Astyanax mexicanus: one gene and its partners. The protein of the gene in region 1 interacts with the protein of each later gene in a biochemical or structural test. Links are inferred from orthologs where the notes say so. Each region holds a gene or a part of one and is shown on either strand. Other genes may lie near its edges.

Region 1 (10,125 bases):
GGATTGATACATTCGTAGTGATACTGGGGATTGATTGAGGGCACTTGTAGTGATACTGAGGATTGATTAAAACACTTCAATTGATATTAAATTAGTAATAATAGGTATTGAGGTTTGATATATTTGTAGTGATACTGGGGATTGATTGAGGTTTGATACACTTGTAGTGATACTGAGGATTGATTAAAACTCTTTTATTGATATTAAATTAGTTATAATAGGTATTGAGGTTTGATATATTTGTAGTGATACTGGGGATTGATTGAGGTTTGATACACTTGTAGTGATACTGAGGTTTGATTAAAACTATTTCATTGATAATAAGTTAGTAATAAGAGGAATTGATTGAGGGCACTTGTAGTGATACTGAGGATTGATTAAAACTCTTTTATAGATATTAAATGAGTAATAATAGGGGTTGAGGATTGATAAATTCATAGTGATACTGGGGATTGATTGAGGTGTGATACACTTGTAGTGATACTGAGGATTGATTAATACTCTTCTATTGATATTAAATTAGTAATAATAGGGATTGATTGAGGGCACTTGTAGTGATACTGGGGATTGACTGAGGATTGATACACTTGTAGTGATATTGTAGTGAGAATTGATTAAAACTCTTTTATTGCTATTCAATTAGTAATACCCGGTATTGATTAAGGATTGATTGAACATTAAATCAGAACTGATAATGCCAGCAGATGTTTCCAGATGTGTAAGATGCCCACACTGTGCCACCCTGAAGTTACTCGGGTATACACTCGTCATCAGTTACAGTCTGAACTTACTGTTTGAGTGTGTGTGTGTGTGTGTGTTAGAGTGTGTGTGTGTGTGTGTGTGTGTGTGTGTGTGTGTGTGTGATTTGTTTGTTTTTTTACTTTTTATCTTCGCGTTCCTCTTACGGGTGATGCGAGTTGCTTAGCAACCGAGCCAATGGGGGCCTGATTGTTGCCATGACGATGTGGCAGGGTATCATGGAGGAAACAGAGATGGAAGGAGAAATGAAAGAGAGAGAGAGATGAAGGGATGGATGAAAGGATTCAGAAGTAGGTGCAGGTATAGAGAGAGATGGATGGAGAGATGGAGGCTATAAAACATGTTTTATGGATGAAAGCAGACAGGAAGTTTTACTAATATAAAACTGTGACAGCTGTCATTACATCATAGCAGCACAGACTAACACAGCATAAAGTAACAGCTGCTGTTACATCATAGCGGCATAGAGTAACACAGCTGCTGTTACATCATAGCAGCATATAGTTACGCAGCTGTTGTTACATCATAGCAGCACAGACTAACACAGCTGCTGTTGCATCATAGCAGCATAGCGTAACACAGCTACAGTTACATCATAGCAGCATAGAGTAACACAGCTACTGTTACATCATAGCAGCACAGAGTAACACAGCTGCTGTTGCATCATAGCAGCATAGCGTAACACAGCTACAGTTACATCATAGCAGCATAGAGTAACACAGCTACTGTTACATCATAGCAGCATAGAGTAACACAGCTACTGTTACATCATAGCAGCACAGAATAACACAGCTGCTGTTACCTCATAGCAGCATAGAGTAACACAGCTACTGTTACATCATAGCAGAAGAGAGTAACACAGCTGCTGTTACATCATAGCAGCATAGAGTAACACAGCTGCTGTTACATCATAGCGGCATAGAGTAACACAGCTGCTGTTACATGATAGCAGCATAGATTTACACAGCTGCTGATACATCATGGCAGCATAGAATAACACAGCTGCTGTTACATCATAGCGGTATAGAGTAACAAAGCTGCTGATACATCATAGCAGCATAGAGAACCACAGCTGCTGTTACATCATAGCGGTATAGAGTAACACAGCTGCTGATACATCATAGCAGCATAGAGAACCACAGCTGCTGTTACATCATAGCGGTATAGAGTAACACAGCTGCTGTTACATCATAGCGGCATAGAGTAACACAGCTGCTGTTACACCATAACAGCATAGAGTAACTCAGCTGCTGTTAAATTATAGCAGCATAGAGTAACACAGCTGCTGTTACATCATAGCAGCATAGAGTAACACAGCTGCTGTTACATCATAGCGGCATAGAGTAACAGCTGCTGTTACATCATAGCAGCATAGAGTAACACAGCTGCTGTTACATCATAGCAGCATAGAGTAACACAGCTGCTGTTACATCATAGCAGCATATAGTAACGCAGCTGTTGATACATCATAGCGGCATAGAGTGCCACAGCTGCTGTTACATCATAGCAGTATAGAGTAACAGCTGCTGTTACAGTATAGCAGTATAGAGTAACACAGCTGCTGTTACATCATAGCGGTATATAGTAACACAGCTACTGTTACATCATAGCGGCATAGAGTAACACAGCTGCTGTTACATTATAGCAGTATAGAGTAACACAGCTGCTGTTACATCATAGTGGTATAGAGTAACACAGCTGCTGTTACATCATAGCAGCATAGAGTAACACAGCTGCTGCTACATCATAGCGGCATAGAGTAACACAGCTACTGTTACATCATAGCAGCATAGAGTAACACAGCTACTGTTACATCATAGCAGCATAGAGTAACACAGCTACTGTTACATCATAGCAGCATGAGGTAACACAGCTATTGTTACATCATACAGTATAGAGTAACACAGCTGATGTTACATGATAGCAGCATAAATTTACACAGCTGCTGATACATCATAGCAGCATAGAATAACACAGCTGCTGTTACATCATAGCGGTATAGAGTAACACAGCTTCTGATACATCATAGCAGCATAGAATAACACAGCTGCTGTGACATCATAGCGGCATAGAGTAACACAGCTGCTGTTACATTATAACAGCATAGAGTAACACAGCTGCTGTTAAATTATAGCAGCATAGAGTAACACAGCTGCTGTTACAGCATAGCAGCATAGAGTAACACAGCTGCTGTTACATCATAGCGGCATAGAGTAACAGCTGTTGTTACATCATAGCAGCATAAAGTAACAGCTGCTGTTACATCATAGCGGCATAGAGTAACACAGCTGCTGTTACATCATAGCAGCATATAGTAACACAGCTGCTGTTACATCATAGCGGCATAGAGTAACACAGCTACTGTTACATCATAGCAGCATAGAGTAACACAGCTACTGTTACATCATAGCAGCATAGAGTAACACAGCTACTGTTACATCATAGCAGCATGAGGTAACACAGCTATTGTTACATCATACAGCATAGAGTAACACAGCTGCTGTTACATCATAGCAGCATAGAGTAACACAGCTGCTGTTACATCAAAGCGGCATAGAGTAAAACAGCTGCTGTTACATCATAACAGCATAGAATAACACAGCTGCTGTTAAATTATAGCATCATAGAGTAACACAGCTGCTGTTACATCATAGCAGTATATAGTAACGCAGCTGTTGTTACATCATAGCGGCATAGAGTGCCACAGCTGCTGTTACATCATAGCAGTATAGAGTAACACAGCTGCTGTTACATTATAGCAGCAAAGAGTAACACAGCTGCTGTTACATCATAGCGGTATAGAGTAACACAGCTGCTGTTACATTATAGCAGTATAGAGTAACACAGCTGCTGTTACATTATAGCAGTATAGAGTAACACAGCTGCTGTTACATCAAGTGGCATAGAGTAACACAGCTACTGTTACATCATAGCGGTATAGAGTAACAAAGTTGTTACACCATAGCAGTGTAAAGTTACACACACATGTTGTTACATCATAGCAGTGTAAGGTTACACACCTGTTGTTACATCATAGCAGTGTAAGGTTACACACCTGTTGTTACATCATAGCAGTGTATGGTTACACATCTGTTGTTATCATAGCAATGTAAGGTTACACACATGTTGTTACATTATGGCAGTGTAAGGTTATACACTTGTTATTACATCATAGCAGTGTAAGGTTACACACCTGTTATTACATCATAGCAGTGTAAGGTTACACACTTGTTGTTACATCATAGCAATAAAAGGTTACACACCTGCTGTTACATCATAGCAATGTAGGGTTACAAACCTGTTGTTATATCATAGCAATAAAAGGTTACTCACCTGTTATTACATCATGTCAGTGTAAGGTTACACACTTGTTACATCATAATGCTACTGTCCTAGCTTACTGTTATTTAACAATATATTTGTAGCATTATTTTCAGTATGTTCCATGTATTTACTCTACAGCAGGATGATGTAACAATAGTAGTTATGACATCATACTGGTATGACTCAGTTATGTCACACTAGTACAGCATGCATTCTGTACTGGTTTAGATCTGCATGTTTATTCTGGTAATTGGGTTTAAATTGTTTACTGATGTTGTTTTAATAGTGTCGAGTCTGTTTACTGAGATACTCACTAATTATCACCCCTACCAACACACACACACACACACACTACACACACACACACACACACACACACACACACACTACACACACACACAACACACACACACACTCACACATTTTAACATTAAATACTGTTTACAGAATCCATTCATCAATTTAGTAGAGAAAATAAAATTATCTCTCTCTCTCTTTCTATTTCTATTTCTTTATCTCTCTCTCTTTCTATCTCTCTATCTTTTTCTATCTCTCTATCTTTCTAATTCTCTTCCTCTTCCTCCTGAGCTCTGATTGGATGAAAGAGACACGGTCACAGAGTATGAATATGAATTCAAATACAGAGAGAGAGAGAGAGAGAGAGAGAAAGAAAGAGATAGAGAGACAGAGAGACAGAGAGGGAGGGAGATAGAGAGAGATAGAGAGAGGGAGAGAGGGAGAGGTGGGGTGAGTGTGTGGGTATAAACAGCTATGCGAGCGTGAAGAAAATAACAAAAAAAAGAAAATCGTAAATTTCCGAAAATAGCACAGGCAAAGACCTCTCTCTCTCTCTCTCTCTCTCTCTCTCTCTCTCTCTCTCTCTCTTTCTCTCTACATCTCTCTCTATCACATTCATTTCCTCTTATTCTATCTCTCTCTTTCTCTCTCTCGCTCTCTCTCTCTCTTTCTCTCTACATCTCTGTCTATCACATTCATTTCCTCTTATTCTTTCTCTCTCTTTTCTCTATTTTTTCATCTCTCCATTCTTGATTTTTTTTACTCTTTTTTCTCTCTCTATCACATTAATTTCTATATCTCTCATCCTTTCATTTTCTCTCTGTTTCTTACTGTCTCTCTATCTCTTTATATATTATATCTACTTTTTTCTTTCCTCACTCTCAGTTTTCAATCTCTTTCTCTTCTCCTTTTTCTCATTCTCTCTTCTTTCTCTTTTTTCTCATTATTTTTTTTACTCTTTTTTCATTCCTCTTTCTGTCTCTCGTTTCTTTCTCAGTTTCACTCTATCCTTTTCTCTTTTGCTATTTCTCTTACTTTTTTCTCGTTCATTTCCTTTCTCTCTCTTATTCCAACTTCTTTCCTCATTATTTCTATCTCTCTCTATCCCTTTCCTCTTTTCCAGCATTCTCTCTCTCCATGAACGTTTTATCTCTCCCTTGTTTCTCTATCTATCTCTCTCTACACTTTTACTGTCTCACTGCTCTCTCTCTCGACTTTCTCTTTCTCTTTTTTCTCTAATTCTCACTTTTCTTATCTATTTTTCTTTTTCTCTCCATTTTTCACATTCCTTATATTTTCTTTTCATTTATTTTCATTTTCTCTCTCCCTTTTTACTATTTTTTATTCTCTCACTTTGCCAATTCTCTTTTATTGTCATTCTCTCTATATATATTTATATCTCTCTTCCTATCCTGTTTCTACCTCTACTTGTCCATGCTCTCTCCACTTCTTTCTTTCTTTCTTTCTTTCTTTCTTTCTTTCTTTCTTTCTTTCTCTCTCTATCTCTCTCTCTCTCTCTTTCATAAACATATTCTGTGACTCACTCATCGTTTCCTCTGCCAGGATTTTCTCTCTGCTCTCATTAGTGCCTTCCCCATCTATCCCTCTATCACTCTCTCTCTCTCTATCTCTCTCTCTATCCATTTTCTTCTTCTCTCGCTGTTTCTCTCTTTCTCTATCTCTCTACCTTTCTCCCTATTCTTCTTGCTCTGTCTCTCTTTATCTATCTCTCTCTACCTTTTCTCTCTCTTCCTCTAAACTATCCTTACATCTCTCCATCAATCTTTACCCTCTTTCTCTCTCTTTCTCTCTCTTTAGTTTATGACGCCCCCTCCTCTCTCTGTCTCTCTCTCTTCCCCATTTCTTTTTTTATTTCATTTTCCCCCTCAGTACAGTCCCCCCCTCCCTCCTTTCTCTCTCCCAGCCTCTCTCTCTTTCTCTCTCTGTCCTCATCCCTCTCTCCTCTCCTCCTCCTCTCTCTCTCTCTCTCGCTCGGCCGCTGTGTGTGTGCGTGTGTATCTGATGAAGGGTCGTACTAAACTGCCTTCACTCTGCTCCTGCGTGGTACGTATCCGCCTTTCTTCCGCGGGGATCTCCATCCATCCATCCGTCTATGCCTCCATCCCTCTATACCTACATCCCTCTATTCCTCCATCCCTCCATCCCTCTCTCTTTCTCTCTCTCTGTCTCTCTGTGCTGCAGGTTTTTGGGTTGTTTACGGCAGAGGTTCAGACGTGCTGTTGGCGTTGTGTGGGAATGCAGACAGTGTGTGTCTGAGTGTGAGTGTAAGTGTGTAAGTGTGTGTGTATAGTGTGTGTGTCTGTGTGTGTGTGTGTGTGTGATGCACAGTCACGTTTTCACTATTTTTTTTATGACGGGGTATGAAAACATCTGCAGTGTGCATCGTCACTGTGTGTGTGTGTGTGTGTGTGTTTGTGTGAGTGTGTGTGTGTTTGTGTGAGTGTGTGTGTGTGTGTGTGTGAGTGTGTGTGTGTGTGTTGGTATTAGTATAATTGGGTAACTTTGTAAACCTGTTGAATATGCATAAGTGTAGGAACAGGTGTGTGTGTGTGTGTGTGTTTGAGAGAGATACATGTATTGCATGTCTTAGAGTAAATTAGCTGAGTGAGCAGAGAGAGCGAGAGAGAGAGAGAGAAAGAGAGAGAGAGAGAGAAAGAGAGAGAGAGAGAGAGAGAGAGAGAGAGAGAGAAATATAATGCAATGGAAATTGCCATATATCAAATTGGTCAGTAGGCATCCAAACCAGACTACCTATCTAACCAGCCTTTATCTCTCTCTCTGTCTCTCTCTCTCTCTGTCTCACTCTCTCTCTCTCTCTCTGTCTCTGTCTCACTCTCTCTCTCTCTCTCTCTCTCTCTGTCTGGGTGTTTGTGATGAAGCAGCATCACTAATGTGCGTATATAATATTCATTATCTCTCTGATTACTGCAGAACACTGTTCACAACACACACAGAGACAGAGAGACACAGAGAGAGAGACAGAGAGACAGGTGCAGGTAAGGACAGACAAACTGAAAAGAAAAGATGGACAGAGAGACAGATGTATAAAGAAACAAACAGATATAGACAATCTTGACAGATGTATGAAATAAAGGAGATAAGGACAGAAATATGGAGGAGCAGGTGGACAAAGGGACAGACAGAGACAAGGAGAAATGGAGAGACAGAGAGAGAATGTAAGAGACATATGTAGAAAGGGAAAGAGACATGGAAAAAGAGACATATGGAGAAAGGAACAGAGAGATGAGAAAAGAGACATATTGGAAAAAGGAGACATATTGCAACATGGAGAAAAAGACAGAGACGTGGAAAAGAGACAGACAACATAAAAAAGGATGTAACAGACAAAAGAAAAGGATAGAAAGAGAGACAAAACTGATTAAGAAATGGACAGACCGATAGAGAAAGGAAATAGGGACCGATAGCTGGAGAATGGAAACGACAAAATGAGAAAGAAACAAACTGACAGAAAGATGGAGAATGAGACAGACTGAGAGACAGACAGGTGGAGATAAGACATACAGAGAGATAAACGATTGGAGAATAAGTAGGATATAGGGATAGATGGAATGACAGACAGATAAAAAGACAGATGGAGAAAGGGACAGACAGATAGAGACAGACAACTGTAAAGAGGGACATGTATATGGAGAATCTAAAATACTAAATGAGAAAAAAAAACTTACAGAAAAGTGGAGAGAGAGACAGATGGAGAAATGTACATACAAAGAGAGACAGCTGGAGAAAGAGACAGATGGAAATAGAGACATATAGCTGCAGAATGGAAAATACAAAATGAAAAAGAAACTAACTGTCAGACAGATGGAGAATGAGACAGATTGAGAGACATACAGATGGTGATAAGACAGACAGAGGGATAGACGTTTGGAGAAAGATAGGAAATAGGGACAGGTGGGATAGAGGGATAGATGAGGTGTCAGACAGATAAAAACGCAGATGGTTGCTGAAAGGGCTAGATAAGGAGAGAGAGACAGATAAAGAAATGGACAGACAGATGTAGAAAGACAACTGGAAAGGGACAGATAGCTGGAGAGTGGAAAATACAAAATGAGAAATAAACAAACTGTCAGAAAGACAGATGGGTGCCCAAAGGGCTAGAAAATAGAGACAGACAGATAGAGAGAGAGACAGATGGAAAAAGAGACAGATAGCTGCAGAATATAAAAGACACTGTTAGAAGGAAACAAAGTGTCAGACAGATGGAGAAAAAGACAGACTGAGAGACAGACAGATGCTGATTAGACAGACAGAGAGATAGATGATTGGAGAAAAACAGACAGATAAGGAATAGGGACAGGTGGGACAAATAGAAAGATGGAGTGGCAGACATAAAATGACAGATGTTTGACGAAAGGGCTGGACAGAGAGATGGACAAATGGAAAAAGAGACAGATAGCTGGAGAATGAAAAAGACAAAATGAGAAAGAAACAAACTGTCAGACAAATGGAGAATGACAGTGGTGATAAGACAGACAGAGGGATAGACGATTAGAGAAAGACAGGCAGATAGGGATAGAGGGATAGATGAAGTGGCAGAGAGAGAGACAGACCAATGGACAATGGACAGACATAGAGAGACAGATGGGAAAAAGGGACAGATAGCTGTAAAATGGAAAAGACAAAATGAGAAAGAAACAAACTGTCAGACAGATGTAGAATGAAACAGACTGAAAGACAGATGGATGGTGATAAAAGAGACAGAGAATAAACGACTGGAAAAAGATACAGACAGATAGGGAATAGGGATAGAGGGATAGATGGAGTGGTAGGCAGATAAAAAGACAGATAGAGAGACAGATCGAGAAATGGACAAAACATAGCTGGAGAATAGAAAAGACAAAATGAAAAAGAAACAAATGGTCAGACAGATGGAGAACGAGACAGACTGAAATATGGTAATAAGACAGACAGAGGGACAGATGATTGGAGAAAGACAGACAGATAGATAGACAGCGTGGCAGACAGATAAAAAGACAGATGGTTGCAGAAAGGGCTGGATAGAAAGAAAGGGATGGAGAAATGGAAAGACAGATAGACACAGAAAGACAGACAGGTAGAGAAAAAGTCAGATAGGAGTAGACAGTTGAAGAAACAGACAAAAAGAGAGAGAGAGAAAAATGAAGAGAGGGACAGATAAACAGATAGAGAGACACAAACAGAGGGGACAGATAGACCGATAGATAAATGGAGAGAGGGACAGATAGACAGATGGAGAGACAGACAGAAAATGCAGTTTACAGCAGTAGTAATTTAAACAGGTACAGAATGAATGGAAGTGAATGGAGTTAGTCTATTAGTCTAATCTATACTAGAGTTATTACTATACTTATCTATTTACCTTTATTTTATAATATTAGTTCTAATGTTATATATTTTTATTGTGTAATAAAGCATAAAATATATATTTATACATTTGATCTGATATATTTCTGTAAATATACACATACTGGGTATATACTGTGTGTGTGTGTGTGTGTGTGTGTGCAGATAATATCACTGAAAAAATGATGATGATGATAATAGTAATGATAGTGATAATAGTGATGATAGTGATAATAGTGATGATAGTGATGATAATAGTGATGATAGTGATAATAGTGATAATAGTGATGATAGTGATGATAGAGATAATAGTGACGATAGTGATAATAGTGATGATAGTGATAATAGTGATGATAGTGATGATAGAGATAATAGTGATGA
Region 2 (10,038 bases), on another chromosome or scaffold:
TGCTACTCCAATGCCTGAAACATTAAACTGAAACTCCTGAATAACCCTCAATTTGGTGTCTTTACTGCTCCTTACAACCTGCCTGGTAGAATTCACACATTAGAGGCACTGGATTAAAAGGCGCACTGACAATTTTTAAGTGCACCTTCTATTATAGTGCGAAAAATATGGTAGTCGTGTCCAGAGTCAAGTTTAAGTCTTGGTAAAGGCAGAGACATTGTATTTGATTAATCCGAGTCAAGGCATGTTTTGTAGTATTTGAGGTTAAGTCGATGGTTAGTCCTTATAGTTTTCAAAGTCATGAACAAGGTTTGGTAGCATTCGAAACTAAGTTAAGGCCCAGACTTTTAACAATTAAATGAAAATGATTAGTGATAATCAAGTTTTGGTCCAGGCCTAGTAATTGTACAATTCTGGCAAGCACTGGATTCTGATATACTACTAAAGTAGTGCAGTAAGAGTATCTGTGACTGAGTCCTCTCCCCCCCTCTGGAGCTAAACTCGATGGTGTAAGAGCGGAGAGTGCATGTCGTTGTTGATCTGAAGCTGCTGTGTTGAAATAGCAGAAGGAACAGAGGAAATTTCACTTGAGTCATTTTTACATGATTAGGCTGGACTGTGCGTGTGTGTGCTCGTGTCTCTATGTGTGTGTGTGTGTGTGTGTGTGTGTGTGTGTGTGTTTAAGGGTAGTTGGTGATTGTTTTAGTAGAACGAGTAGCTGTTTATGAGCTTTGAAAAGTGGGAAACAAAGTTATGCAGTAATGGTGAGTTGTGTGTGTGTATGCGTGCGTGTGTGTTTGTGGCATCATAGTGACTTCATATTTTTTAGCTGTAGGAGTTAAGACAGGAACTTGTAAATAAAAGACACTACATAATCCATAGTGATATTAATAGTTATATTAATATTAATAGTAATATTAATATATTAATATTAATAGTAATGTTGATATTTTAAAATTCATAATACATACTGATAAAACTTTAGCATATTTAATTCATAGTGGATACTGAATGATTCATATTTGTTTCTAAATTATTCATTGTAAATAATGAATACATTATCAGTGGATGCCAAATGATTTGCACTGGATACTGTAATCACTAAATAATTTGTAGTATATAATATAAATCAGTCATAGTGGATACTAACTAATACATAGTCATAATCATTCTCCTCCTACATTGAACAGAAGCAGTCAGAGATCACGTGGGTGGAGAAAGACTTCTCCAACATTCGACAGGTAAGAACTCACCTGGAGCTTTCAGCTTAGACTCTGTCTTTTCTGCTGTAACTGAGCTACGAATTTCAGCTACTAACCTGCTGCTACACGCTTTTTGAAGATACTACCAAATTTTCACACTATAAGGCGTACCAGATTATGAGGCGCACTATCAATAAATATCTATTTTCATACATAAACCGCACTGGATAATAAGGCACATTTTGTGACACTAGTAAGGAATAAGGGTGTCGCCATGTTTACCTTTAAATTCAACAGGTCTGTCTGCTGCGTGGTGAGACCTGTAAAGCTAAGCTAAGTAAACAAAACTATTCTAAAAAAAAATATATAATAATAAAAAAAATTCAGTCATAAGTCCGTGCTGGATGTTAATTTCCTGAAAACTGTTTATTTGTGTTAGTAAAGCTTGTGCTTATTTACAGTAAGCTTAGATATCCACATTTTTACAGCACTAAGGACTGGAGCATTAGCATTAGCCGCTAACCGCTAGTGATTAGCTGCTAATGCCGCCCGACAGAACCCTGAGTGTTCCGGTAAGTGCGATATTAGCTATCGTCCCACGTAGCTTGTTTTAACACTGTAAACATGCAGTTTACAGTCAGATATACTCACCTTTAATCTAATGCTGTGGTAAGTGGATAATGTTAATTCTGCTTCTGCAGTGCTAGCGTGGGTTAGCAGCAAGCTACAGGCCAGTAACACTCACCTCTGGTCGGCCAACAAGCTAGCACTTAGGGCGGTTAGTAGCTGATGCTAATTCTAATGCTGGGCAACTAAACTGAAAATTCTGTTTAACACTGAATTTCAGCGGAGTGGTTTTAGAGTGTGGTTTGGTTTGTTTAATTTTTATCCCCAGATGCTATTTGGTTTTTCCGTTTTTTTTTTTTTCAGTATTGCAAGTCTTAGTAATTTTCTTTGGTCATGTGGAGTATTTCGTTTCTTATCTTTTTTTAATTTGTTAGATTATATTTTTGTCAACATTTTTGGGTTTATTTTCGTTTGCTATTTTTCTAATAATAATAGTAATTACATAATTAATTTTCTTTTGTTCATTTTTTTACTGGGAAAGTAACGCAATAGTTACTTTTACTGGTAACTAGTTACTTTTATAGTGGAGTAACTCCGTTAGTAACTCAGTTACTTTTTTGGAGAAGTAACTAGTAACTATAACTAATTACTTTTTCAAAGTAACGTGCCCAACACTGACAGCTGTCTGATTTAAAACGCTTGCCAGATGTGACCTACCCAGATGTGATCACTATCTTGTTGAAACGCAGTGAAAGCGTACCGCAGTTTGAGCGCATATAATTACTTTCTCAGTGGAAGTTGGGAATATGAGTTCCTATAGTAGAGAAGCATCACTATAGTGTATGGTGAGGTGGAGCAAGTCAAACGCTGTCCAACACGTACTCTGCATTATTTATTGATAAGAAAGAGGGAGAAGTTGTGAGCGGACACTGTAACTGCATGGCAGGTTCGCAGTGTGAAAAATGAAAGCAGGCGTGTTTACTATGGAGGACCAAAAATGACAGAAGTATAAATAAATAAATGTTTAAATAAATAAATGAATAAATAAATAAATGTTGACATAAATAAATGCACATATAAATGAATAAATAAATATATAAATAAGAAATGTATTTATTAATTTATTTACCTATACAATTATTTGTGCATGTATTTATTTATTTATTCATATATTTTTTTATTTATTCATTTATATGTGCATTTACATATATATTTATTAATTTCAACATTAATTTATTTATTCATTTATGTATTTATATATTTATACATTTCTATGTGTGTTTATTTATACTTATGTCATTTTTGGTCCTCCATAGTTTACTTGTTTAAAGAACAATTTGACCTGATTTTCAATGTTTATGACTCTCAGATTAGGTGAAGTTTGCATTCATGTTAAATTATGTTAAAGTTACGTCCACTGTTTTGAACGCTCTTTACGGCTAAACGGAAGTGTCCTAGGAACAGCTACGTCACTTCCTACGCTCATGAATATTCCTCTGAAACGGTCTATAAGATGCACTCACGATTTTTGGGAAAATAAAAGGATTTTAAGTGTGTCTATACTTCTACATAGTGATACAACTCCTGCTTCCGGACTGCAATAACAAAAACTGGGTTTTTTTGTATATTTTTTGGGGGGAGCATTCTGTGAAAACCCTTTTAAGGGAACTGGTTGAATTGTAACACAGCCTCTAATTATTATACACAGAGAAATGGTGCCCTCTAGTGTACAGCACTGCTGTAGCATTAAGTCTCACTTTCTCTTGTTCACTCTACCCTAAACTTTTAATCTCTCTCTCTCTCTCTCTCTCTCTCTCTCTCTCTCTCTCTCTCTCTCTCTCTCTCTCTCTCTCTCTCTCACTTTCTCTCTCTCTTTCTCACCTTACTCTTTTTCTCTCTTTCTTTTACAATCACCCTCACTGTCTCTACCTCTGTCTTTACCCTCTTTATCACTTTACCCTTCTCCTCCATCTCTTTCTCACTTTCTCTACCATAACTCCTCAGTCTTTTTCTTTTTTCTACTTCAATCACCATCATCTCACTTTCTCTCTCTCTCACTCTCTCTCTCACTCTCTCTCTTCATTACTATGTGTAATTATTTGTTCTTTCTATCTTTATTCTCTTTCTTTTTTACATCTTACTCTTTTTCTTTTTTGTGATTAAGGATTTGTATGGGGAGCAGCAGACGGGCAGAAAGAGTGAATGCAAAATAAAAAGGAGCATGAGTGACAAATATCTATGGGCACAATCTTCACAGATAGAGATAAATAGGAGAAAGTGTCCGTATTCAAAGCATACTTTCCAAGAAAATCCAAAATATTCAGCACAAAAGTCTGTCATGTTTTAACAGGGCTTAGCATGGTGAAGTCGAGTTATGGTACATTCAAGTTTTGCTATATTCAGTAGATTAAACACCCAAAATGATTCCATGTAAAGGCCAGGTGTAATCCAGTTTTGTAGAATTGTCTCTTTAGCAGCAGTAAATCCAGAGAACAATAGCTTGCACTGTATCATCTTCAACTCCAAGTTGGAGTTATCATTCAGGAGACAAAAGCATGGATCCCAATTGTATTCTGTTTTAAGAATATCAGACAACACTGTGTTCACATATCTCCAAAATTGTATAATTACAGGACATACCCAGAACATACGAGAAGCAAAGGTGTTACATTTATGGCAGTAATAGTACATTTGAATTTTAACCTAAGGTGGTAATAGAAAGGGGGTTTGTAGAGGCTTGTGATAAATCCTAGCAACACATCCTCTTAAAGGTAAATGAGGTTGTATCTATTTCACCATTGGATGAGTTGCTATTTGAGAGCCCCTTGGGCCCATATATGCTTTGAGTGCTGATCTTATATGCAAATACACAAAATAGGTAGAAGATGGCAGATTAAATGTAACCTTAAATGACTGAAAAGAGTGAAAACCTCCATCGGTCAACGGTCAACCACAAACGTTAATACTCTCTTTTACAATCACCCTCACTCTCTCTACCTTTGTCTTTACCCTCTCTACCACTTTACCCTTCCCCTTCATCTCTATCTCACTTTCTCTACCATCACTAACTCTGGCCTATTTCTTTTTTCTCTGTCAATCACCATCATCTCTCTCTCTCTCTCTCTTTCTCTCTCTCTTTCTCTCTCTCTCTTTCTTTCTCTCTCTCTGTCTCTACATATCTAGCTTATTTTTTAGCATTTTCTCTTACTTTCTTTCTTTCTCCATCTCCTGTATGTTTCTTTCAGTTCAGTAAGTTTCTCTATCTCTCTCTCTCCCTCCCCTTCAACCTCTTCCTTCCTGTCTAACTACATTTCACATCCCTCGTTCAGGCTCTCACACTCGCTCTCGCGCTGCAGCAGTACGAGTTGTAGTGTGAGTTGTGTGAAGCTGGGCGAGCGGTAGTCAGTTAGTGTTGTGAGAGAGAGATGCCGAGGTCCGTCAGATTAACCATAGCAGGAGGCAGATAGAGGAGGTGACTGTGGGAACCCCGGACTGGTGGAGAGATGAAGAGATGGAGAGAGAGAAAGAGAGAGGGAAGTTTAAGCTGAGGCAGGTGCTCACACTCTACCTGTTTAAAAGACAACAGCGGAAAGCGCTGACTAACGGCGCTAACGACCCTAATGGCTCTAACTTCTGTCCACTGGTGGAGGCCAATAGCAGCACAGCTGCCACCGCATCATTAACTGCATCCAGCACCGCTTCAACATGCGAACAGAGGCAGTGGATGGTCAGTACACAACATGCACGCACACAGACACTATTACATAAGTCTACACTCTCTTAAGAGTTAGTGCTTCTTTAAGGGATGCCATAGAAGAACCAATTTGGTTCCATAAACAACCTGGTTTAATAAAGATTAAAAAGAAGAACCTTATGGTATAGATGGTAGAAATTAATTTTATGTGAGGCAACACCTGCTGTCCCATTACTTTTGGCATGTCAGCGTAGAAAAAAAAAACTCGCACCTTCCAAACATGGTAGAGGAAGTTTTGTACACTGTTACTGTAATAAAAAAAGATCAATGACTATATTTAAAAATATTGTCTTACACTGGTCTAATAGTTTAGTGGTGTCTTGCTGGTATTGGACTGGTTCTGATACCTGGTCTTAGATGGGTTCAGCCTGTAGTGTTGTGTGATTAGGACTGGGTCAGGGCAGCTGTTAGTTTCGATGTGAGAGGAGGAGCAGTACTGAGATGTGATGAGGATGTGATCTGTGGGTGTTTACGTCTTTTAAAAGGTGTCAAACACTCGACTCAAAGTGTAACTAAGTGGAGGTGGTTAATTTTAATGTGATATCAGCACAATTAGAAGGAAAACACACTTTGTTTGGCGTGACTTGGCTGCTCTCACTCTGTTTTCTCTATGGCTGCCTGTGTTTGTATATGGGTAGCGGTAAGTGGCAAGTAAAGGTTCAGTGCAGTCAAACTCATTAGCAATATTAACCAATAATGCAATAATATGAAAAAAATCAACAAAACATAACACAAAACAACGCAGGTGACCAAGTCGAGGTAATAGTGTTAAAAAAAAATCCTCAGAGCTGGAGGAACAAACCTTGGTAGGACTCACTTTTTTTTTTTGGTCAAACTAAACATAGCACAAAGTTTTGTGTTTTTTCCTGTAAAAACACTTTTTTTAAGTTTCTGGTGCCATTTCTGCCTGACTGGCACCTGATTGGCAGAACCTGTAAGAAATTGGCCCTGCGGCAGTGGTCAGAAGGTGTCTATGCGTTAGGAACAACTTCAAGCTGGTGCTCTGCAAAACCAAGCTGAGGCTTCATATGGAGTAAGCCCTGGAATAATTTATACAGTCATATGAAAAAGTTTGGGCACCCCTATTAATCTTAGTTCTAAATATTTGGGTGTTTGCAACAGCCATTTCAGTTTGATATATCTAATAACTGATGGACACAGTAATATTTCAGGATTGAAATGAGTTTTATTGTACTAACAGAAAATGTGCAATATGCATTAAACCAAAATTTGACCGGTGCAAAAGTATGGGCACCCTTATCATTTTATTGATTTGAATACTCCTAACTACTTTTTACTGACTTACTGAAGCACAAAATTGGTTTGGTAACCTCATTGAGCTTTGAACTTCATAGCCAGGTGTATCCAATCATGAGAAAAGGTATTTAAGGTGGCCAATTGCAAGTTGTTCTCCTATTTGAATCTCCTCTGAAGAGTGGCATCATGGGCTCATCAAAACAAAACATCAAATGATCTAAAAACAAAGATTGTTCAACATAGTTGTTCAGGGGAAGGATACAAAAAGTTGTCTCAGAGATTTGCAAAGGTAAACTAAACCTGCATACAGGAGTCTGCAAGATATCCCTTAAAAGTCTCACTCGAATGTGTGACGGTTTAAAGCTTTATCATATATATTCAAGATTCAAAATATGTGTGACTTCCTCATTTGCCTTATTTATCTGGAAAACTGTTGCACAGACAGTAGCGTAAGCTAGCCTGTTAGTAGTTAGCCTGGGGCAAAGGTGTTAGCAGCAAGCCTGTAAGGGGCTAGCATGTTAGCAGTTAGCCTATTAGCGGTTAGCCTGTCACTATTTATTTAGATAACTGTCCTGTTGTCCTGTTATTTTTTGTCTAAACGTTTATAAGTAAACAGCCTGAATGTTGTATTTAATAAATTTTCTGTTAAAAAAATAACCCAACATTTAATTATTTTGCAGCCATGTAAACATAGGACTTTAAGCAGTTCCTGCAAATTCCTGTCCCATATAATAGCATATACCACAGTAATGTTTTCACAAAAAAAAAGTGATATTGCCCAACCCTTATTGTGTTAAGATATTTAAATTGGTCTTGTTTGACTTGTTTGAAATGTACCAGTAAGGCTGGGGTTTTCAATACAGTGTGGTGCAAGATTTACAGTTAATTTGTCCAGTAAGTGCATCTGTAAAGCTGGGTATTCCAGTGGCTATTAAGGGCAACTGTAATGCTGGGTTTCCAAGTCAGTGGCCAATAAGGGTAAATGTAAGGCTGGCATTTGAAATAAAGTGGCCAGTAATCGTAGCTGTAGAGCCGGGGTTCTGATAGACAGCCTGTGCTGGTGATAGTAAAGTAGTGTGTATTTAAATCCCTCTGTACAGCGAGATTATTTTGAGTTATTTGACACTGTGGTTTAAATGGTGAAGTAGGCTCGTTTCCCGTAACTGTGCTGCGAGGTGGAGTTCCTCTGCTGGTTCCTGTGTGTGTGTGTGTGTGTGTGTGTGTGTGTCACCGCATCTGATCTCATTTATTATATGTTATTTGTTATATTATATTATATGTTTCTCAGAGCTCTAATGGGTGTATTAATAAAGACTATCCAGCGGAATTCTCTGCTGAATGATGCACATGCACTCAGAGGATTTTTGTAGCGAGGCAGAATTTAGCACAATAACTGGAAAGACAACTTATTACATTGTTAACACAACATGCCCTTCTACAAACCAATCAGTGTCAGCACACACAGGTGAAGATAACTGAACACAGCGCGCAGTTCTTCAGTTTGTTGCTGAACTGCAGTGTGAAATCAAAACTATCTGGACCTAATGTAAACGATGCATACAGACTGTGATTCGCATACTGGTCCACACGTTCAGGTGTAAAAAAAGCCCTAAATATGCACATGTTTATATTTTATACTCCCATTTCCCACCAAGCACCTGTGCTTCATTTCACCTAAAGGAACAGGTTAAACAATCTAATACCAGTTGACCAGACTTATTTGGTCCACAATGGGAGATGCTAGGCTAATATTGCTAACAAACACTGTCACTATTCTCTTCTTGCATGCTTTTGGTCTGGTCTTAAGAAGCGGGAGGTGCTTCTGGTGTCACACAGCTCCAAACCGCAGACTGCAGCTGATAATCTGACTGGTGATAATGGGGGTTTCCAGGCTGATATGCTGTTAATGTGAATAAGAACCTATGATGCTGGTTCCATGAATTAGATCATGGAAATTGTGATGTTAATCTGGACACAATGAAGCCATGAAGTGATGCAGTAGGGTTTTTTTTGTTTGTTTTTTTTGGGGGGAAACTAGAGATAAGGACTTTATTATATTTTACATTTTAAATTTGGGCTTTAAACTGTCCTTTCATTTTTATTTTGGAGTTTATTCTGTTTAAAATTCTGGCCTCTCTCTTACTGTTCTCTTAATTTTTATGTTTATCCCTATTATGTCCTTGACTTTTGATATTGTAATTTACTTTGTTCCTTATTGTTTTATTTTAAATCCTGTGTCTAGGTTTTATTAAATTTTTATTTGTTTCCAAAATAATGTTGAGTTATTAAAATAAAGCTTCCTTTATAAAACCTAACCAAAAATGTGTCCTTTTGCAGGATGATGATGTCATCAAAGAGATTAACATCACACATGTGGTTAAAGAGGGGGCGGAGAAAGCAGACCCATCCCAGTTCGAGTTGCTCAAGGTGTTGGGCCAGGGGTCTTTCGGCAAGGTATGAAAACACACACACACACACACACACACACACACACATTTCTATATTATACTAAACATTCTCTAAACAGTTTTAATTATAACCTCCTAATGCTTAATATGCAAAACCCATCCCCATGGCCATCCTCTTAAAATCTCGATGCAGTCATCAGCCATGGTGCACTGAGCACCATTATAAACTCAGTACATCACAAATTATGGGCAGGGTTTTCAGACTGGTCAATTTTTTTTTATTTGACTGTCAGGTCAGAAATTAGATTTCTGGACATGATGTGAATTTGTGTAGTTAAAATTATTTTCTGATTTCTGTTCTAATCATAAATCATTCCTAACCGTAATCTTTATCATGACCTTAAAATAAAACAATATGATGATGATTACCTAGGCCTGTCGCTATAATTACCCTATTGACTTATTGTATTATAAATAAACATTATTTCAATGGGTTTTACTCCATTCGATATTGCCCATTACATACACATGCCTGTACTTTAGCGGATATTGTTTTTAGCCACTGTAGCAGGCAACACACACACACACACACACATACAGACACATACACAAACAATATAGTTTTACTGATGCTGTAGTCTTTCATATCATTTAATCAGGCGATACCCTGATATCTGTAACTTCTGTTCAAATGCAAGTCAGACCAAACCTCAGTGCTTTAAGTGCACATCGTCTGACTCCACATGCCCTGTTCTCATTGAAAACATGTGGTCAGTCAGTCAGTTATTTACCCTACCATACTCAGTCATCCAGAGCTTCCGTGGACCCAAAGCCACCTACCTGATCTACA
Region 3 (10,532 bases), on another chromosome or scaffold:
AAAAAGTGATTGACAACGAAAGTGTAGTATCTGATTGGCTGCAGTCGAAAATGATTGACACATGCTCCGCCGTTTAGCCACGCCCACTGGGGCTCCGGTCTGCAGCATTACATAGATGGCTTCCTGTGACGACGGATTATAAACGAGGGAGGATCTACACTGGTGGTGACAGCCTTCTTGTTTAATTACCCTTTGGACCCTGTATATAATCACCCTCTTATTAATTACTGTCAAATTAAACATTTATATAGGCCCTAAAACAGAGCCCAGTGGGATGCTACAAAATATGCTGTGATTTCCAGTTAGCTCCAAAGCTGCAGAATTCATACATGAACCCCTAACCTCTGAAGCATCCCAGTGGATGATGAGTTATCTTACAACTTTAGGTTCTTCCTAATTGTTTTGTCCTTGTGTTCTTGGGGAGATTTTCCACTGTCATCGACTGCTTGCTCCCCAGGGCTCTGGACCTGGATTTCTGTAAAATCTGAATCTGGGACAGAAACTGTAGCAAGTCTACCCCCAACCTTTCTTTGAAAGATTTGCCCTAAAAAGTTCAGTTTCAACCATAACTTATTTTAAACCCATTTTCCTTCACACTTACTGTTCACACATTGCTAGTCTTGTCAATTAGGGGAACAGATGTGTTAAATTAGGGTCTGTAGTAAATTTGGAGAATGCAGGGGGAGTACATCTTCAGGAACGAGACTGGGAGCCATTGGTTTCTGTAGCTTAATTAGGCTGGCTCCTGGACACACAACAGCACTGCACACAAAAATGTTTTAAGCACACCAAAATGTTTCTTTAATGAAGGCAAAGGTGAAGAATCTGTCTAATCTAAGAATCTAAATTATTTTCTTTTTATTGGAATGAAATTCAGCTCATTTGAACAAACCCTTTGTTTTGTGTTACTAATCTGACCATTTTTTCAGTAATTCAGTAACTGGAATTCATTACTTCCAGTAATTAGATTAAAATTGCTTATCAAAGTCACTGAGTGTTTTCTTTTCTTAGTAAAATGATATTGTAGCGTCCGGATGGACATGTTGAAAGGATGTACGAGAAAGACGGGGTGGGGTGTTGTCAGCAGCTGCTGAAAGTAACTTCAAAATCAAGTAATTAAGTTACATTTTAAAAGGAGTTATCAGTAATCAGATTACCTTTTTCAAAGTGCTGTTGTTCACAAAAGCCAGATTAAGTTTAAACCTAGAAAAAAAAGAATAAAAAAACTAAAATACTGCTTCGTATTTAGAGTATTATGTGATTTTTAAATTCAATTAGTAAAGTACCTCTTTTCAATGTTGCTATAAACTAGATGAAATGAAGCAATGGCGCCCTCTGCTGTCTGTAAAAATACATACCATTCATTTATATATGAGTATTTTTGTAATAGATAATAGACTCTTGGGTGTTGTGAAATCCTGGTATGCAGAAACAAAAGATAAAGGGAAAAAAAATATTTATGGTCTAGTTATTGCAAATACATTGAAAAGTTATGACGGCCAAAAACAATGATGTGTATATTAAACAATGTTTTAAAAGGGAAAGTCCAGTGACTAAAAATGTGAAAAAAAAAACTAAATCTAGTCATTCTGAATGGTTTGATGGGAAATGTGTCATTCTAGACAAATACTGAGTCATAACTGTTCGTGTGTGTGTGTGTGTGTGTGTGTGTGTGTGTGATGTGTTATAAGAACTCAAAAGAAAGATAATACACTAAATCATCAATAAAGCTTTGCCCTCATACACATTTAAAACACATATATGGTAAAGTGGTACATTAGAGGCATTTAAACATTAAAGGCTCATTGTACATAATAAATAAAACTCCTAATAGTAAATCAGTTGCATTGGAGACATAATAACCCCTGGTTTTTATTACCACCGCTGTAAGGAAATCATATTTTTACATCAAACTTTGAAACTTACATTAGCACATTAAGTGTGGACATACAAACAGTCAAGGAATTTCTAATGAATATAATAGTAAAATTTAATATATTGTATAACTACCCTGTAAAATTAATTATTAAAAATGACAATTTAGTCAGATCTAGAAGAAGCATGGAGAAGCATGGTTCTAAAAAACAATAACAGCTAATTCTGGCCCTCTTTAAGAACTAACATGGATCGTCACGACTTAAGATTTGCTTGATAGAAAAAAACTGAACATACAAGTTGTTCTGTCCGTGTTACTGTTCAAACAGCTCCATTCAAAAGCCCATCTGTGGAGCTGCGACATTATGAAATACTCACCTCATAAAGTCTGACTGTTCGCTGTGTTTATAAAGACCTTAAACACTGCTCTGTTTAATAAAACATTATTATTTTTATTGTATTTAATAATTTTTTGCAGAGTAGTTTAAATTATGTTATATCATGCTGTTGAAGCCTCATAATTGAACACATGCCTGCTATTTATAATGTAACTACCTGTCCTTACACTACATATTTCTATATACATATGCACACATGTTCTGCTCCTACTGCCACTGTAATCAAAAGCAGCTAAATCATTTCACTACTCAAAGTCAGACATTATTAAATTCATCAGAAAACATTTTGTTATAAAGCATATATTTATTGTGTTGGGATTCAAAACGACCTTATTCATTTAAATGAATTGAGACCTAATTAACACATAAAAATGATGATGCTAATCAGCACTGCATTAATGCATAATTATACAATGCCTCTTCAGAACAAGCCTACTGCCAGTCATTAGCACAGCTTAACATCTTCTAAACATCCACTCCAGCAAAGAGCTCATCTACTGAAGGACACCAGTGGCCTGGGCAGCAGGTGTGCATGACCGTGACATTTAAATCTACAGAAATGTTTGTTAGGGCAATATTTTGTGTAACTTTATATATAATGTGGGTGTTTACATGCCTTCAATTATCTAAATATAATCAGATTTCTGAAGTTATATTTATAAAGTTATTTTTTTTTGCTAAATGTAGTTACAAAAACAGTATAAACTTAGACTGTTTTTTTTTCAATATTACTGCCCATAGGGTGTATGTAAAGATGCCAAAATGGACTGTTCAAGTCCAGCAAATTTATGATTTTAAAGCACAGTTATAAAAGCCTCAACATAATTTTAATATATTATAATGGTTTACACCATTTTTTCTTTTTCCACTTTTTGTGTTTCTTTTATTATTAATATTTTTATTATACTATGTAAAAATTAGTTTTAGCTGTTTTTTCTTGTATTAATCTTATCTTCTTTTGGTCTTAATTTCTTTTCAATTAAAACAAATTTCTATATTTGATTTATTGTTATTTTAAAATAAATAAATCCTTTTTTTTGTCATGTTAATACAAAAACTTGACTACATTAAAAATTAGGGTTGCCCTTAATGTACTTCAAGTCAACCCTGCAGGCACATAGAAGTATTAGAGGTTATCCTTACGTAAAAAAAAATGTTGTGTCTGATGTCATGACATTCAACCTGAAATTAACTTCTATTGATGTTGGTGCCAGATGGGAAAATAAAGGTTGATTGATTGACTGATTGATTGTACAGCTGATTCTTCAATTCTGGGCTCACTTTACAACAATACCTCTACAGTGTGGCTGTGACTAATAAACTGTAGTGGGTGGAGAACATGAAGCCTGTTGGAGTGGTGTCTGTCTATTGTAATTGTGGCTGAGAATATTTGTTTTATGCGAGCCTTTGTTGTGCTGATGAACATTCAGACACTGAATAGTCTGTTTGCGCTGGGCTCCAGCTCACGTGGGCGTTTAACAGAATCAAGCTGCCTGCCAAATGAGCTGAAAGCCGAAAGCAGCTGAATGTGAGATGCGCTGAGCAGAGAGGTTAACTGGTTGGGCAGGTGGCAGGTGGCTTGGGATTCTGAAGCTAAAGAACATCAGTTAGGTTATATTACAAAACCACTGTAATTACCCATAAGGGCTGGAGAAGAAAGAGTGGCGTGTGTGAATATTACTCTAGGCATGGTCTGATTGACTGAAAACACTGTGTGGAATGTGATGCCTTGCTCAGAACAAATTAACAGAGATCTGATAAATGGTTAAAGAGGATGTTTGGCCCAATATGCATGATCACATCCTCTGGGACTCTTCACTTTATCCTTCTTAACCAGGCATGAGAAGCTGGAGAAGCTGTGGGGTTTATTTGCCAACTCTTTCTCTTACCCAGCAGAAGAACTCACAGTATTAGCTCTGTTCTCACACTCATACACCATACTTGCTATTTATCACACATTTTAATGATCCCTCTTTCCCTTAAAAACACCTCTGGATGAATCTGACTGCTGCTAGTTTCTACATCTGCCTCTCTGAAGCCAATCCAGCTTTTATATCAACAATAAACATAAAACGAAATAAAATAACATTGCTGTTCCTGGAAATTACCTGTGGGCGCACCTTCAAAGCATGAATGTGCAGGCCAGTAATCCTCTGCTGAGATGCGCAAAGCACTGCACTGTTAAGATACCAACGTGCCAAAGTCAGAGCACACCTGCCTCTGGCAAGTGAAACGGTGATTGGTTTGTTTCACATTACACCCAAAACACATCTATGATTAAGTCATAACCTTTATAACTCACACATTTAGGACATTTGAAGTCACAGCTCGGAAAAAGAATATAAGTGTCCATAAATTTACAATAAATAGTAAAATAAATAGACAAGCAGTATAAGACAGAAGAGGACATCATAAATATTGGCATGGAAACCATAGTAAATATAAAATATTGCAGCAAAGTTATACATTATACATCATATGTATTGCATATTAGAGGTGAATAATTAATTCTGGTATGTAGATGTATAAGTAAGTGTAAGTAGTTAAATTCAAGGGTAATTGAGAGATAAGTCAGGACACATAAGCCTAATATGTGTGATAATTAGCCTGCATTAAAAGAACGTTTTTTTTGTCCTAAATGATCGTAATACCTCCTAAAACTATTAAAGTGTTCACCAGAATATGCTGCCTTCAAGTCATCATCGAAAATTCGTACTTACATAAGACGAATATGACTCGCATTAGTTGAGTGATTTTTTTTATCCCATTAGAACCGTAAATAATATTAGACTTTTACACTTATTTTTCATGTATTGCTAGTGATTTTATTAGTTAGCTTATAACAAACTGCAAGTGTTAAGCGGTTTACATTACGAACTGTCTGCATCAATTTATTTAATGTATTTATTAATTTAAATAAATGTAATTAATTTATTTATCTCTTGTTACTGACACGCCCCCAACTGGGAAACTCCGGCCTGGTCTAAAAATATGTGTTTCCCACTGGTAAATACGAGTTTGTGGTGGCGTTCATGTGCTCTTATCTTGTAAATACGAGATATAAAAATATTTTCGACACAGCTTGAAGGTAGCATAACAAAAACGAAGCAAGTGTTAACGCATGCGCAGAGTACCGTTGGTCTGAAACTGCTGCTTTAAATCCGCTGCTCTGCAGACAGAGAAGACGCCCGCGTGACTCCGCCCATTCCAGCCCGTATCGTAGCAACCCTGGCCCTATCTTCTTCCCTATTGGTCAGAATTCAAGGTTCCGCCATATTCAAACCTTTTCGGTGTCCGTTTGAATACATTCCCTTCCCCCCGCTTTCATTCACTAATATTACTCCCATATCCGTTTATAATAATTCGGTTAGTTTACATTTCAGCTCCGGCTTTGTTTACAGCGCACCGCATTTTTAGGTCTGTTATTTTCAATGGAGGACATAGATGAGCCACAGACTGCGCCGCCCGCTGCTGCAAATAAGAGGCCGAAGAGGAAAGCGAGTCTGCGGAGAAAGTCTGTTGTGGCGGACGCGGAGCCCGAGTCCCCCGGGAGCAGCGACCGGAGACGGTGAGGGGACAGGGCAGCCAGCCGCTCAGCCAGCAGGCTCCTCTTAGTTAACTAACAAAATATGACTTCTTTATTCTTTATGTGCAGAATTCTAGTTACGTAGCTAGCTGTGTTTTGAAGTTAGCTCGCTAACTAGCTAACACATGAGCTAGGCTATCTAAGTAACTTAGCTGCTGGCTAACTGGTACATAAATCAACCATATTCGACAGCTGTTTTAGCAACTTGGCTAACTAGCTTAGCTAGCTAACTTACTAGCCGTAGCCTGTTTATGTCTAGGCCTCGCTGTTCTCTCGCACACAAATTTAGACTTTCCTTCCTTATAAGCTTGGTTGAGACAATTAATTAGTTAGCTATCTAACTAACTAACAATAATAAACTATCCAGCAGGTAGCTAGATATAGTGTTGGGTTAGATGGTAACTTTTTGTAGTTCGCTACTTCATTATCTACATTTAAAAAACACTAGCTGTTAGTGTATACACATTGATTAGACATAACATTAGAAACACCTGCCCAGTATTGTGTATTTACGTTACCTCTTGTGCCGAGAAAACGTTATGTTTTAGCATAGCCTCTAAATGAGCTCTAAACCTGTCCCATGATATATGGCACCAATTTGTTAGCAGCAGATCCTTAAAGTCCTGTGCTTACTGCATGAAAGGTGCCACTATAACAACATCACCAGTTTTATTCACTTAATGATTTGCACTAAGATACTGCATTTTTTATTTTTGTAATAAAACTACTACTACTATTACTACTGTTTTTTGTAAATGTGCAATTGCGTAAATATGCAATTGCGGAAGTTAGATATTCTGTTTGTGATCAGCAGTAAATATTCCCTCAACACTGTAATGTGATTGATTACACTTTTACATACTTGTTTACAAGCTAGTGCAGCGTAAGAATCTGCTCATTAAACTCTGCTACTTAACCAGCCATTAGAATGTTAAAGTAAGTTTGTGCTTGTAACGGAAACACTGTACATTTTGCAAGTCATACAGGATTTTCATTTTAAATACTGATATTTTCATGTTCTGTAGTTCTTCTGTTCCCCCACACGGTGGAGCTCAATTCACACTGATTAGAATACATCATTAATGAGCCTGTGCTTCAGAGGCAGCTGTAAGTTGGTCCTGTCTGTAAAGATAACACACTGACATAACCGTCTTGCTTATAAATATTTCCCAAATTACAGAAAGAGTGCAGCTTGATTAAAGGAAATATGGTTAGTGAGAATTTGCTATGTTTCTCTAATCTTTCTGAAACAAATGTAATGATGCTCTCTGTAATATGGCAATATGGCAAGAGTTCATGTCCAAAACTTATCCAAACATGGTAACTTCTCTTTTTAGCCAGATTTCTCCAGTAAGTCCTGTGAAAGAGCAGGAATAGCATGAAGAAAAGCTGTTCTCTTAAGTTCTAAGATAAGTAGGGAAGAGTTTACATTGGCAAAGCTGCTGGTTTCCTCTTTCGTGTTGGTTGGGTGCTTTCAGTACCTCCTGCCAATCCCCACACAACCTTTGACTTCCCAAATGTCAGCAGAGCTACAGTCTGAACAGTTAAAGTTCCAGATAAAACTGAAAAAGAGGTTATAAATGTGTATTGATTATGATTTTTGGTGATGTATAGAACCATTTAAAATGAACACTGGTTTGCTTGTTTTGAACTGATACCAACATTTTTTTTCCTTTTGGTCAGACCGAATTTTGAGCCTGGGCCATCACTCACAGCACCGGTTACACCTGGTTCAAAGATCTGTACCTAACTGGGATGTAGGCAGCTAAATCAGTACAGTGGTAAAGAGCTAGAACGGTTTAAGCATCCAAATAGATTGTGTAAGATTGTGTAATTGAATTGAGCATGCTAAAAAATACTTGTATACGTGTATTGTGGTGCAGTCAGAGTGGATAATTCTTGTGATTTTTAACATGAATTCTTTTGTGCTCTCATTTAGCTCACCAGACCTCTTGAGTTCTAACTATACATTTCTTTGATTTAATGATGCATGAATGAGCAGATAAAGGCTGTGACGGTGACATATCCAATGTAGGCAAAATATCTACTATTGGATTAAATATATGTACAAATTTACTATTTCATTTTTTTATATTGCAATGTATATCATAGAACAACAAAATATTTTTCAAGAAATGTTTTTTTTCCAATATCATGCAGCCCTAATTGAAAGCCCTAAATGTCCCTTACTTTTAGGTAAGATTTATCCCATGCCTGTGTTGTAGGGCTGCAATGGTTAGTCAATATGATCGACAATGTCGATTATGTAAATTTGTCGACTAATTGTTAATTTGTATGGGAGATGGGTAAAAGGCTCACTCACACAGTTTACACTCTTATTACACACTTATTCTGTGTCTCCAAAAGTGCCCAAACACAACAGATTACATATTTAATAACTAAATATTAGTACTTTCCACAACATTTAGACATTAAATGCCTTTTAAATCTCTTGTTCTACTGTTCTCCCTACCGTTTTTAGAGATGGGGACATGGCAGAAATAATCATTGACTGATCGAAAAAATAATCATCAGATTAGTCGACTATCAAAATAATAATTAGTTGCAGCCCTACTCTGTTGACTGGTCAATATCTCTGAATATTAGCTGCAATAAGGATTCATTTTGCATGAAAATGTATAACACTTATAAGAATACATGCTCTCTACCTTACTTAACATTAATTATGTGAAGAATAATCATTCTCTTAAACAATGAGTTATTTCCAGTGTAGATTTGACATAGGATGCAGTACTGAAGTTTTGATTTCAAATTACTAGAAAGGTGTAAATTTTTCAGCAAGGCACCTCCATGCTCTCCTAATGATTTCCCCGCTGTAATGTGTGTGTCTGGATGGCAGGTTCTTTGGAATCACTCATAACAAGACGTGCTCTCTACACACCCTTATGGTGGTATTGTGTAATCTACCCCACTAGTATGTCTATGATATCAGCAGAAGCTACTTGTGTTTTAACTATGCTCTTGCGCACACAAGAAAAGGCTATTCGGTCATTTTGTTAGCTATCGTTAGTCATTTAGGGATAGTCTCAGTTATCCTTAGTCATTATTACATTTCACATAAATATCAATTGTTAGATTGAAGGGGTTTGTGTACTCTCAGCTACCGGTACTTTAAGGTTCCCGGATTGCTGACACAGATCTGGAAATAAACATACAATATTGTTTTCCAGTATAGAAGTACTGCCAATAGAATATGACTCTTTTGAAGCAGATATACATCCATTTATTTTCACCATGCCTAATACCAGGCATGGATTATAAATGCCTTGTAAGACATGTTATTGCAACCGGAAACACAATTAACTACAAAGTGTAAGTGCAGTTGGTAAAATCTTATCAGATACAATCCAGACACAGGTCACATTTAAGTGACCAGGTGTTAACAAAATCTTAATCCTACAGTGTTAGATGGATGGGCATATTTTAAGAGAGAGAAAGGGGTAGCTCAGCTAAGTGGAATCTAATAATGTGTCTCAGAAGAGCTATGTTGCCTTCAACAGGTTTGTTTAGAGGTGGAATATTGATATATTGTAGGATTGTGATAATACATTTAGCAATACTGTATAGATTCTCAAAAATAGTGTTAATTTTCAATGGTTTACTTGCAAAAATAGGGAGAAGAGTGTGATTTGATTTTGTGTTGTTTAACCCCTTAAACACTGTTTAGTAAAGTGTAGTAAATTGATTAGCTTCCAAATAATTAATTACAAAAATTATTACCCTAGAGTTAAGAAGTTAAACCCCTGTCTGGGTTTGATGGCAGTGTTTAAAATCAGTCTTTAGATCCAACTGTTCTGTGTGTATACAGAGTTAGTCTTACGTTTTACTCACAGTTTTATAAATATGATTTTTGCTTTTAAAAATCTCTGTATATCACAATACTTACAGTACTGCGATATATCGTAAAATGTGTATCCTGATACTATCTTATTGCCAGTTTCTGCCCAAAAACATAGCCCTAATTTAACTCTGCTTGAGGGGTGTAAAGCCCCTCAACACTGAGCTGGAATGATTGTGTTCTGTAAGTACTTTTGGGATGAGTTCGGGTGAACATCCTGACCTCACTAACACTTTTTTTATTACTGAATGCTATCAAATCCTCACAGCGGACAGTGGTGCACCAGGATCTGTTAGAAAAAGACAGGATATCAGCAGGATAAGAACTGTTGTCCCAGTTCTTTTGTCCATAATGTATATTTACAGTACACTAAATTACCGACAGTACATTTCTTTATTGTGTTTTAATTATATTTCTAATACTGAATGTCCTAGCCTGTGTTCTAGGTCTATAGACTTAATAAATGCTCTTCTGTTGTCTTTAAACATACATGGTGTAATTGCAACCCCTCGGGTGGTTCATAGACAGTGATGTCAAACTTATACCTTATTGGTATCTTCTACAGGAAACGTTTCCACACTTTGATTCTTTCATCATACTATTTCTCTGAGGGCGTTCATTTTAATGGAGAATGCAAAATAGAGGTATGGTTGGCAGTAAACTTCGTCACACAGGTTTTTTTTAATGAGCATGGTTCACACTTCATGCTCTTTGGATTCTTTTGTCATCTGTAACTCTGGAGTGTGTTGGATGTGTCCCTTGGCTGTTACGTGGTTGTGGGCAAGTGGGATCTATTGTAAACACCTGAATGTGA

The links.
Region 2: the proteins of disks large homolog 4 (region 1) and rps6ka1 interact in a test that uses a peptide from one of them, tested with the Homo sapiens proteins (2 studies listed by BioGRID and IntAct). The link is inferred for Astyanax mexicanus from reciprocal best matches to the Homo sapiens genes DLG4 and RPS6KA1.
Region 3: the proteins of disks large homolog 4 (region 1) and net1 interact in a biophysical measurement, tested with the Homo sapiens proteins (2 studies listed by IntAct, with this or other methods). The link is inferred for Astyanax mexicanus from reciprocal best matches to the Homo sapiens genes DLG4 and NET1.

The regions. Positions count from the first base shown.
Region 1 is NC_064408.1:2,142,386-2,152,510, forward strand, and holds the start of disks large homolog 4, read left to right. Parts: upstream 1-6,117; 5' UTR 6,118-6,201; coding exon 6,202-6,444; intron 6,445-10,125. UniProt on the Homo sapiens protein: Postsynaptic scaffolding protein that plays a critical role in synaptogenesis and synaptic plasticity by providing a platform for the postsynaptic clustering of crucial synaptic proteins.
Region 2 is NC_064421.1:34,847,884-34,857,921, reverse strand, and holds the start of rps6ka1 (ribosomal protein S6 kinase alpha-1), read left to right. Parts: upstream 1-5,093; 5' UTR 5,094-5,280; coding exon 5,281-5,496; intron 5,497-9,117; coding exon 9,118-9,234; intron 9,235-10,038. UniProt on the Homo sapiens protein: Serine/threonine-protein kinase that acts downstream of ERK (MAPK1/ERK2 and MAPK3/ERK1) signaling and mediates mitogenic and stress-induced activation of the transcription factors CREB1, ETV1/ER81 and NR4A1/NUR77, regulates translation through RPS6 and EIF4B phosphorylation, and mediates cellular proliferation, survival, and differentiation by modulating mTOR signaling and repressing pro-apoptotic function of BAD and DAPK1.
Region 3 is NC_064409.1:8,468,489-8,479,020, forward strand, and holds the start of net1 (neuroepithelial cell-transforming gene 1 protein), read left to right. Parts: upstream 1-5,587; 5' UTR 5,588-5,704; coding exon 5,705-5,841; intron 5,842-10,532. UniProt on the Homo sapiens protein: Acts as a guanine nucleotide exchange factor (GEF) for RhoA GTPase. May be involved in activation of the SAPK/JNK pathway Stimulates genotoxic stress-induced RHOB activity in breast cancer cells leading to their cell death.